Linked DNA regions of Elephas maximus indicus. The protein of the gene in region 1 binds, or shares a complex with, the protein of each later gene. Links are inferred from orthologs where the notes say so. Each region holds a gene or a part of one and is shown on either strand. Other genes may lie near its edges. The genes, in order: TAF1C, POLR1H and POLR2F.

Evidence for each region.
Region 2: TAF1C (region 1) and POLR1H share a complex: the UniProt entries of both Homo sapiens proteins name them as parts of the pol I pre-initiation complex. The link is inferred for Elephas maximus indicus from reciprocal best matches to the Homo sapiens genes TAF1C and POLR1H.
Region 3: TAF1C (region 1) and POLR2F share a complex: the UniProt entries of both Homo sapiens proteins name them as parts of the pol I pre-initiation complex. The link is inferred for Elephas maximus indicus from reciprocal best matches to the Homo sapiens genes TAF1C and POLR2F.

Annotation. Positions count from the first base shown.
Region 1 is NC_064839.1:50,142,223-50,145,969, forward strand, and holds the start of TAF1C (TATA box-binding protein-associated factor RNA polymerase I subunit C), read right to left. Parts: upstream 2,473-3,747; 5' UTR 2,331-2,472; intron 1-2,330. UniProt on the Homo sapiens protein: Component of the transcription factor SL1/TIF-IB complex, which is involved in the assembly of the PIC (pre-initiation complex) during RNA polymerase I-dependent transcription.
Region 2 is NC_064819.1:89,721,871-89,725,617, reverse strand, and holds the start of POLR1H (DNA-directed RNA polymerase I subunit RPA12), read right to left. Parts: upstream 2,385-3,747; 5' UTR 2,318-2,384; exon of another isoform or gene 2,118-2,317; 5' UTR 2,098-2,117; coding exon 1,962-2,097; intron 1,761-1,961; coding exon 1,660-1,760; intron 1,474-1,659; coding exon 1,364-1,473; intron 1-1,363. Other genes in the region: putative uncharacterized protein ZNRD1-AS1, read left to right, coding at 3,432-3,466. UniProt on the Homo sapiens protein: Core component of RNA polymerase I (Pol I), a DNA-dependent RNA polymerase which synthesizes ribosomal RNA precursors using the four ribonucleoside triphosphates as substrates. Can mediate Pol I proofreading of the nascent RNA transcript.
Region 3 is NC_064822.1:181,850,757-181,854,503, reverse strand, and holds the start of POLR2F (DNA-directed RNA polymerases I, II, and III subunit RPABC2), read right to left. Parts: upstream 2,662-3,747; 5' UTR 2,545-2,661; coding exon 2,525-2,544; intron 1-2,524. Other genes in the region: C4H22orf23 (UPF0193 protein EVG1), read left to right, coding at 3,204-3,306. UniProt on the Homo sapiens protein: DNA-dependent RNA polymerase catalyzes the transcription of DNA into RNA using the four ribonucleoside triphosphates as substrates.

The DNA.
Region 1 (3,747 bases):
GCCTCATTGAGGAGGTGCTGGGCGAGCAAAGCTAGAATCTAACGAGGGAAAGAGCCACGCAGACAACTGCGAAGAAAACAAACAGCGAGTGCAAAAGCCCTGGGCGGAAAAGTGCTCGGCAAGTTTGAGAAACGAGGAGGCATGTAGTGAAAACAGATCACGTGAGGAGAGCGTTAAGGGATGCCCATCCAACAAGCGGCGAGGGATGTTTCTATCACAGCTCTTATCAGCCTGCATTATGATATGATTACGCAGTTTGCAGCCCTAACTCCCAAGGCTTGGCTCAAGTTCCCCCAAAGCCAGGGACTTAGTCTTGTCCACCTATCTTCCCACTGTCAAGCACAGGGCCTCCCAGAAAACACACTGATTGACTATGTTGAAGAAAGATAAATTTATGTCAAAGGGTTTTGGGAATACAAAGTGCTCTAGAATACGAAGAGCAGCTAGGTCACCCCTGCCTCTTTTATTAAACGCAAAAGGACGGCAGTGCTCACTTACTGAGCCCCACATCTCCAGACATGGCATTATAAGCTTCACACTTCTTTCTATTGGCCCTATTGTGGAGTTCAGGAAACTGAGGCATGTTAGACAGTAACTTATCCAAGGTCAACAGCTCATAGTGCCAGAGTCAAGGCTTGATCCCCCATGCGAGTCAAAGTCTGTGCTCTGAACCACTGCATCCTTGTGCATCCAAAACCAAACGTTCACATTAGAGTCCAGTAAGCAGAAATCTTTTCCCTTGGAACCACCATTGCGTTTTATCAGTTTATGCTGTAACCTCTGCACATCCAGGTACTCTCAGCACCACACACTGCCTATCACATAGTAGGTTCTATATAAATACTTGCCAGCTAAATGAATGTTTCTCAGAGCACGTATCAGCCTCATCCTAATTGTGATTTATGTGTCTGGCTTGTCTCTCCACTAGACTGCAAACTTTCTGAGGACATGAACTGTGTCCATTCATTCCTGAGTCCCTGATGTCTGGCTGCTGCTATGATTTTCTTTCCCATGTAGGAGAGGAGAGAGGAAGGGATCTAGGAGGTGCTCAGTGAATTTTTACAGGATCTTTACAGAAGCTCTAGCTTCTGTAGGTCAAGGGGCACCCAAGCCTCTCCAAGGTGGCTGCATCCCCCATAACCCAGCAGACAGAAAATGTCTCCAGCTCATTTCTCCGTTCCCTGGGCTCCAGCCACGCTGATCTACTTTTGGTTCTTCACCGTGCCTCTTCTCACCACAGGGCCTTTGCACACTGTTCCTCTGCTTAGACTGAGTCCCAGCACTCAGATTTGGAGTCAATGATCTCCTACTCAGGGAATCCTCTCCCAGTTTCTCCAATCCTACCCTTCTCCCACAACACCTTGTACCCTTCCTCTAGGGCATTCACAGCAATTTGTGGTTAAATACATAAGGAGGAGGCTGTTTGATTCTGCTCTAATAGGTCTTGTGATAAATGAAGTGCATATATTCTCAGTGCCTTGGTATTTGCCACTTGGTAATAATCAGTCCGTATCCCTGGTGGCAGAGTGGTTAAAGGCTAGGCTACTAACCAAAAGGTCGGCAGCTCAAATTCACCAGCTACTCCTTGGAAACCCTATAGGGGCAGTTCTACTCTCTGCTATAGGGTCACTATGAGTCAGAATCGACTTGACAGCAATGGGTTTAACAATCAGTACATATAAGTTGTAGAAACAAATCTAGGAATGAATGAATGAGAGAAAAGAATCAAACAGCCTCAAAAAACCCAAGCCAACTGAGAGCGCTGGTGGAATCCAGGACTTGCCTGGGCAAGCAGCCTCGACCACCCCTGGCCGGCTTCCCGCCCTCCCTCTAAGCTTTCCATGCCCTTCCTACGTCCAAGGCTGAAGAAATAGGACAGGTCTGGCTGAATCCAAGACCGGGAACAGCAAGAAAGTCGCAGAAAATGGTAAAGGGGATACTAACGGTCTCTCCTCGTGCATCTCCTACTCGACCATGTCCTCACGCATATCCCTAATCCAGCCTCCTCGACGACCTCTTCCCACTCCACCTCCAGGCCCCACATTTTCAACCCGACAAGAGCAGAGGCCTCATATCTAGTGCTACATGCGCCAGGCAGCTGCTACGACACTTAACAATTTGTAGAATCTGCACTACTCCGTGAGCTACCGGCAGCTGCTAATCACCCATTCCGCAGATAGTTAAGTGACTTGTCCCAAAGCCACACAACTTGGGGCCTGAGCGCCCGCCCGCCGGGTAAATTCGAGCTCTCCTGTCGGACCCAAGTCCCGGTCTCCCGCCGCCCAGTGGGCAGCGCTCTCTCCTCCCGTCTGGGCGGTGCGCGCACTTACGTGCCCTGGCCTCGGCGTACTCGTCTGGGAAATGGGCCCCTGCGCAACGCTCTCCTGACCCCTGTCCCGCGAGAGAGCCCAAAATTTGCACCCACGCGCCAGGGAGTTCAACGGGACCGCGCCCACAGCGTGAATTAATAATTTTCCGGGACTGGCCGGAAGTGCCGCCTCGGTAACAGGAAGTCCCGCCTCCCAGCTCGGCCTCACGGGCGTCGGTGAGCGCCACCTCCCGGGTGGAGAGGGAATGGGGCGCAGGAAGTACCGTGGGAGGTGGGGACCCTGAAGTTCCAATAGTGAAGGCCAGTCAGAACTGCGTTCGAATCCCACATCTGCTTTACCAAACTCATGTTTGATATGGTTATTCTATTTAATTAATTCAGTATACATTTACTGTGCACCTACTGTTGGGCCTCATTTGCTGTTTGCACCACCCAAGGACTCCTAGCTTAAGGAAGACCTACAATAGTTTTAAATTTTAGATCTAATGATCCCGTGGGGCTGTTACAATTATAAGCACCTTCAGTCATCAGAGGAGTCCTGGCGGCACAGTCATTAGCTCACTGGTAACCAAAAAGTCAGGGGTTCAAACTCACCAGCCACTTCGTGGGAGAAAGGCATGGCAATTTGTTCCCATAAAGATTTGCAGCCTCGGAAACCCTATGGGGCAGCTCTACTCTGTCTTATAGGGTCGCTGAGTCGGAGTTGACTCCATAGCAGTGGGTTTTTCATTTACCAGATGAGGACCCCTGGCTCAGAAGGGTTAAGCTGCTGACGGAGGGGTGGTATGGTGGGGTGTGTTGGGGGGGTGTTTATGGTAGCAGCCAGGATGTAAGGATGAACTCCCCAAGGCCGCCAGCCGCTCTTTCCTGGTCTTTGATCCCTAGGACAACCCAACGGTCGAGAAGGGGCTGCTGGGAGAGCCACACCCCAGCCCATTCCAGAGGCCCCACCCGGAAGTGAGAATTCCGAGGTCAGCCAAGACTGTCGTCCCATTGGCCTGGCAGCGGCCAGAAGATCAACCTTCCCATTGGCTGGACAGGCAGGGGAGGGGCTCACGGTGCGCACCCTCCTACAGCTGCCCGGGAGACAGACCTTCTCATTGGCTGGGTGGCAGGGGCGGAGCTTGTGGTGCCCTGCTGGGAGACCAGCCTTTCCATTGGTTGGGCAGAGGGGCGGGGCTCGAGATGCGTTGCCAACCGCGTGCTGCCCACGCGGGAGCTGCCGGTGTATGTTAAAGTGCTCGCTCAGTGCGAGATCCGGCGCAGTGCGCCTTCTGGAGCTCGGGTTCAGACATGGCCTCTCCGGCCAGCGCGGACAGTGTTCGCAGGAAGCCCCGCCTGGCAGCGTCGTTGCAGATCAGTCCCGGGCCCATCCCTTGGCGGCCCTCGAGTAGTCTGGGCCAAGATCCCTTGAAGCC
Region 2 (3,747 bases), on another chromosome or scaffold:
TCAAGTAGAACTCATAAAAATGAAAAAATAATAACCGAAATAAACTGAAGAAAGAATTAGTAACTTAGAAGAGAGGCCTGTAGAAAATACCCAGAAGGCAGCATAGAGAGGAAAAAAGATGGAAAATATGAAAGACAGTATTATAGACTGAATTGTGTCCTCCCAAAATATGTGTTGTAAATCCTAACCCCTATACCTTCAGTTATAATCCCATCTGGGAATGTTTTTTCTTTGTTTTATGTTAATGACGCAGTATTAGTATAGCGATGTGTCTTAACTCAATCTCTTTTGATATATAAAAGAGCAGATTAAGCAAGCAAGCAGATGGAGGAAGACAGATACCATGCCACATGAGGATCACAAGAATCAAGGAACAGAAGCTGAAGAGACAAGGACTTTCCTCCAGAGCTGACAGAGACAGAAAGCCTTCCCCTAGAGCTGGTGCCCTGAATTCAGATGTCTAGCTTCCTGAATTCAGACTTCCAGCCTCCTAAACTGAGAAAATTTGTTTGTTAAAGCCACCCACTTGTGGTATTTCTGTTTTGGCAGCACTAGATAACTAAGACAGACAGGTTGTAAGAAATAGTGAACAGAGGGTTTACTACAAAACTAATTGTTGTTTGCCAGTGAGTCAATTCCAACTCATGGCAACCCTACATGTGCAAAGTAGAACTGCTTCATGAGGTTTCAGAAGCAGGTCACTAGGCCTGTCTTCCAAGGCACCTCTGGGTGGGTTCGAACAGCCAACCTTTCAACTAGAAGGTGAGTGCTTAACCCTCTGCACCACCCAGGGACTCCTTACACAATTAATTAGAGATCCAGAATGTGAGAATTAAACATAGGGGAAAGACAACATTCAATGGGATAATGGTTAATCATTTATAAGGTTGTTTAAGAAAAAAAATCAATCCCTAGTTTTGGAAAGTCCAACAAATCCCAAATAGGATTAATAAAAGATAGCCACATCTTGACACATTATAATGGAACTACAGAACACCAAAGACAAAGGCCAGTTCTCAAAACCATTCAGAGTCCACACTCTTTACTAATTCTCACCAAAGTAAAAGTACCTTGATTGCAGTGGTAGGCTCCAGCATAACATGGTGGCCACTAAGCAATACCTGCCTTCTGTATTTTTTCATCTTCTTATAAATATTTTTTAAAAGTTTAGTTAACTGCTATAAAAAGGGTAAGAAAGAGTAATTTACTTAAAAAAAAAAAGGCCACATATCTCCCTATTACCTAAACTGTACAGAAATGTTGGATGAGATCAAAGAAAAGAAATGTTTAGTAAAAATTTAAGCCACTGTATTTTAGTTAGTAAACAGACTGAGAAAGCAGAGGAAGAGGAAATAATACTTACTTGCAGTTGGTACAGGTGTAGAAGACAGTTTGCCCTTCATCAGCTGAGCGCATCTGTCTGGTATGGTATGCCATTCCCTCATGACCACATCGGGAGCAGCGTCTATCAATCTGGGAAGAGAACTAGTGAGGCAGGGGAGGCCTAATCAAAGCCCCCTACTTCTCATAGGAATCAGGCTATCACAGACATATCTGCTCTAAAGACCCCTCTTCCCTCTTGGAACTGGGTCCAAAACCCTCCAGATCTTTGCAATCACACTCTCCCCCTATGGACAGTTCTTGACTTCATTAACTTACCACAGGTCCCTGGAACTCAGGCCCTTCCTCTACCGACATAGGCATGGCTGTCCCCAGTTTGTGGAACACAAATGAAGTTTTGACAACCTTTCCTTCAAAATCTGCACAAGAAGTAAGAACTGTTTGTAAAGTCGAAGAGAGGCCCCATATAATCCCCAATTGTGTCCCCTTCTGTACCAAAGGTACAAGTGCCTGATTTCCTGCTCCAGAGTCCCTTCCCCAATCCCGCCCATCTCGGGTCCCCAGGTCTCCGACTCTTCCACCTTGGGCCCTCCCGGGACCATTGAGTACGAGTTTCTCACCCCGCACGTTGACGGAGAAGCCACAGCGAGTGCAGGTGACCGTATCCTGAACCCCGGGCAGAGGCAGTACTGAGCCGCAGTCCGGGCAGAAATCCAGGTCCGACTGGAAGGTGGAGCAGGTGGCAGCGAGATCCATGACGGGACTGATGGTAGAGGCTTGGGATGGGAGGATGACTTTATCAACAAAAGGGAGGCTTCTTAAAACCTCCCTAGTCAGAAGGCTTTCCAATTGTGTCCCAGGACTTGGGTATATATAGGTCAAGCCCTCATCCCACGCACGTCTCCTGCCTCAGCGACTAGAGAACCGAAGTGTTAGGAATACCCAAACCTCATCGGGCATCACCGGACCTACAGACCTTCCAGCGGAAGAGGAAAGCGGCAAGTCAATGCCGCAGGCTACCACGCTGTCTCCGCGCCGGCGGCGGAGCAGCGAGAGCGTGGCGGGCTAGAGCGTCAAGGCTTTCCGGCTCACGATTGGCTATGACGTCATAAGAAGTTGCGAACCGGAACCAGAGAGCCTTTAGGAAGGAGCCGAGGGTCTACGAAGAGAAATCGGGGACGACATTTATTTAGCCTGGTACTGTGGCGTCGGATAGAAAACGGCTAACTTGGCTGCGGGTCCGGCTTTTTCCCCCAGGACCCTAGAATGTTTATTTTCTTGGCCTTGCAACCCACAAGGACCTTCCCCTCAAAACCGTACTAACCTCCCTGAATACTAATTTCTTTGGACTAGAAAACTATAACTGTCGCCATTTCTGAGCCTGTATCTCCCTGCTGCCGCGGGAGGAAGATGTGGCAGTCTTAGAAACTCTATGGGGTAGTTCTGCTATGTCCTATAGGGTCCGTATGAGTCGGAATCAACTGGAGCGACGGCAGCTGGTTTGGTGTTTTTCGTTTTTGTTTGCTTATCTCCTTTCTGCGGCTGCGCAGTGGTTCAAAACAAAGCTAAGCATTCTGGGAGTTATAGTGCTAGTGCACGTTGCCGCTTGAGGGGCAAGAGTAGAGGCGCTTGGAAGTGGGTAGTTGGCTTAAGGGATAGAAGGTGGCGAAGGCGAAGCAAGGATGCACAACAGGAAGCAGAGAGAAAGTGGGATGTTTGGGAAAGGGTTCAGGACTTTGGAAGTGGTAGAAGAGAGGCGGTTTGGGGCTTCCTCCGCCCTACCCCTGAGACGCCTGCCACAAGAGGGAGGTTCCGTTAAGGGGGCAGCCGTTGGATAGGATTTCACTAAGACTTCGGCTGAATTTGGCTCAGTTGGGGACCGCCCTCCCTCCTCTTCCGCCCCTGCCCAACCAACTCTAAATCATTGCCATCCATTAGGTGGTCCGTTGACATTTCTGTAATCTTTTATAAAACACAGATCTTTAGAACAGATATCTTTAGACAAATATCTTTAGAAAAATCTTGCTATTTTCATTCGTCTGTAACCTACAATCTGAGTAGACTTCTTGTCCTGAGAGTGCAGCTTCTAGATGACTCTTCTGCCGCCCAGCTCTCCCATCTTCAGGTAACTGTGCTAACCTCCTTCAGTATAGAAGTTTTGGAGTCATCACTATTTTCTTCCATGAAGATTACAAGCTGTGGTCTCTCTTGGGGAGAGGCACCGGTCTGTCTTTGCCACAATGGAGACATATGTAATAGTGAAGGGCTTAAAAACTCTTAGCCACTTACCGGAGGGTAACAAACGCTATAATTTCACTTATCCAGATGTCATTTTCCCTATCTTACAAAGGGAGGTCTGTTGCTGGGCCTGTAATGGTAGACAGTTTTTATCCTCACCTTTCTGTG
Region 3 (3,747 bases), on another chromosome or scaffold:
AAATACATCCAGAATCCAACCACTTCTCACCACCTCTACTATCACCCCAGTTCAAGCTACTACCTTTTCTCACCTAGATTACTGCAATAACTTCCCAACTAAACTCCCTGCTTCTATCTTTGACTCCCTACAGTCTATTACCAACACAGTAGCCAGAGTGATCCTTATGAAACCTAAAATCCTATCACTTCTCTGGTCACAACTTTTTGATGGCTCCCCATTTCAATCAGAGTTAAAGCCAAGTCCTAACAGTGGTCCACAAGCTTATATAATTTGGCCTCCTATCACTTCCCTGACCTCATCCTCTACCACCCTCCCCTTGCAGGAGCCACACTGTTGGCCTCCTGACTGTTCTGCACACACTCCAGGCATACTCCTACCTTAGAGCCTTTGCTCTAGCTGTCCCATCTGCCCAGTGGCTAACACCTTCACCTCCTTCAACTCTTTGTTCAAATGACATCATCTCCACAAAGCCTTCTCTCTAGTAACTTTCCTATTTAAAACTGAAACCTACAGTCCTGCCCCCAGCTCTCTATTTTTACCATACTACTTTCCACCTCCTAACACACATTTACTTACTTAGCCTGTTACCACCGTGCTTCGCCCACCCCTTCCCCAATTCATTCCAAGCTTCTGGAATAGAGCCTGACACATAAATATTTGTTTAATAAATAACCCAATTCAGTCAAATTCAATATGACATGGATAAAACAGACTTCGTGACCTCAGTCTCTCACATCTGCCCTCTTCACCACTATTCTTGATCTTGGGATCATCCTACCACACCCAAAGAAGATAATAACAATCCGCTCTTTCTTCCAGGTTCTCTATCATGGCTGGAAGAACCACCCCAGTTCCTCAAGCTAGAAAATGCTCAACCTCCATCTCTCCTTTGCACCCACATCCTATCACCAAGTCCTGTCAACTCCATCTCCTAAAATCTCTCTGCACCCTCCTCCCTATTCCATGGTCATAATCTAAATTCAGGTCTCCATCCTTTCCCAGTTTATAATTTTGCAACAACTTCCTAACTGGTCTTTCTTTTCCAATCCGACTCTCCAAATCCACTCATCACAATGTATGCAAAGTATCTCTTCTAAAAAGAAAACCTAACTGTGTCGCCCCACTGCTTAAAACAACTCAATGTCCCCTTCACCTCAAGGATCAAGAATAAAGTCTTTAAAAAGGCACAACCGCCCTCAATCATCTGGTCTTTATTGTCTCTCAGCTGCCCCTTCCTGACATGTTTTGCTTTCAGAACACAAGCTGGTTTCCCAAATTCCCCCCACATCACACCTTGTCATGTCTCTGTTCTTTAGGATACATTGTTTTCTCTACTTGCAAGGCTCTCTGCCTTGTCCACCAGGCCAATTCTTAGTCACATTTCATAGCCCTTCACCACCTCTGTGAGGTCTCACCAGCCTCGCCCCTCCGGATTATTCCCTGCTACATACTTCTACTGCTACCCCATATTATCTCTTCATGGGCCAGTTTCATCTCCTAGAAAGTAGTCGCCTGCAGACAGGGACTGTGCCTAATTCACCTCATATTCCCAGTACAAGGCACAGAGCCCAACTCAGTGGCAGTCTGTTGAAAGACACCTTATTCACTGAATAAGGTCCCCCAAGCCTGGGCCTTTCTGTGTCTACCCTCCGGCCTGGTCTGTGCTCCTGGTTTTCGGCCCTTCCCTTCTGCAGCTCTGCCAATCCCTCAGTATCCCCTGTCCCCTCAGACACTGTCCCTAGACCCTAGCTCCTCAGTCTCTTCCAACTCAAGCCCCCAGTATCCCTGTCCCCTCAAACACTGTCCCTAGCCCCCAGGACCCCAATATCCCCATCCCCTCGGACACTGCCCCTAGCCCCCAGGGCCCCAGTATCCCCGTCCCCTCGGACACTGCCCCTAGCCCCCAGGGACCCAGTATCCCCGTCCCCTTGGACACTGCCCCTAGTCCCCAGGGCCCCAGTATCCCCGTCCCCTCGGACACTGCCCCTAACCCCCAGTATCCCCGTCCCCTCGGACACTGCCCCTAGCCCCCAGGACCCCAGTATCCCCGTTCCCTCGGACACTGCCCCTAGCCCCCAGGGACCCAGTATCCCCGTCCCCTCGGACACTGCCCCTAGCCCCCAGGGTCCCAGTATCCCCATCCCCTCGGACATTGCCCCTAGTCCCCAGGGACCCAGTATCCCCGTCCCCTTGGACACTGCCCCTAGTCCCCAGGGCCCCAGTATCCCCGTCCCCTCGGACACTGCCCCTAGTCCCCAGGCCCCCAGTATCCCCGTCCCCTCGGACACTGCCCCTAGCCCCCAGGGCCCCAGTATCCCTATCCCCTCGGACACTGCCCCTAGTCCTCAGGCCCCCAGTATCCCCGTCCCTTCAGACACTGCCCCTAGTCCCCAGGCCCCCAGTATCCCCGTCCCCTCGGACACTGCCCCTAGCCCCCAGACTTCTCAGTCTCTTCCGACCCATGCCTTCGCTTCCGTCCCTCCCTAGGTTCCCGCAAAGGCCACTCCGCTCCTGCACTCACTTGTCCTCGTTGTCTGACATAACGTCACCGCTGCACAGACCCCGCTCTGCACTCCACGGCCGCACAAGAACACACAAGCAGCGCGCCTCGGCCTCGCGCGGCCACCCGTACCCTGCGCCTGCGCCGTGACCCAGAGGCAATCACTTCCGGGAGGCTGGCCAGTGAGTCAATGCTCATGCGCCGAATGGCTTACGCACGTTACCATGGTAGCCAGAGCCGCTAGGTGCCGGCTCCAGTCGCAGAGATCGCAAAATATTTCTGGGGGGCTTCTGCGTCGGGTGCTCCTGCAGAGTCGTGGTGTCCGTCTCCGGGAGCTTACCCGCCGCTCTCCGCAGGGAGGGGGCACCCAGACACGTCTTCCTTTAGGGTGAGATTTCAACTGGCACATCACCCCATGGGTACTGCCGTGACCACGGCGATTTTAACGCTCCCTTTCTCCCGAGGGGACTTCCCTGCCACAGGCGCTGGGTCCCAATGAGGACTCTGTGTGTGTGTGTGTGTCAGGGTCGGGATCGGGCACTGTCGCGATATTTACTAGAGTCATCACGATTCTCCTGCCACCCAGATCCTCCACCTACTCTCCCAGACTTTGGGTGGGGTTGGGGGCAAGGAAACAGAGACTGGGACTAGGAGACAGGGGATGTGTTTCATTGTGTCTTTCCCTACTCAGGGCCCTCCCATGACTTCCCAGGAGAGGCTGGGGGCAGTAACCAAAAGAACGGGGTTCTGGCGCTGCCCCCAGCCAGCCGCTTACACCCCGGGGACCTGCGAACTGCTCAGAGGTCAGTGTTTGAAGGACACGAAGAGACAAGTGGTGGTAACTGTTAACCTCTGTAACTCAGTTCTCCCCTACATGACCTGTGGCTTAGTAATGGCGATTTTCATTTTACAGATGGGAAGTCTGCCCTACAGCTAGCCGGTAGCCAAAAGTCAAAGAGCTAAGAATTTTTGAGTAGGTAACTCCTGTGCATTCTTCAGATCACACTTGCAACTTCCTCAGGGAACCCCCCCCCCAATACCACCACAACAGAAGCACCTGTTACTGCCCTCACATCATCAAATACCTTTGTCTTCATTGTGCATAGCCCAACCTGTTGTCAGATATCTAGCTGTATCCGTTAGATTAATGTTCATCTCTCTCTAGATCATTACCTCCATCAGGGCAGGGATCGTGCCTGTTTCGGCTCACTGTTGGAGCTCCAGCTCCTGGCTTAATGAATACT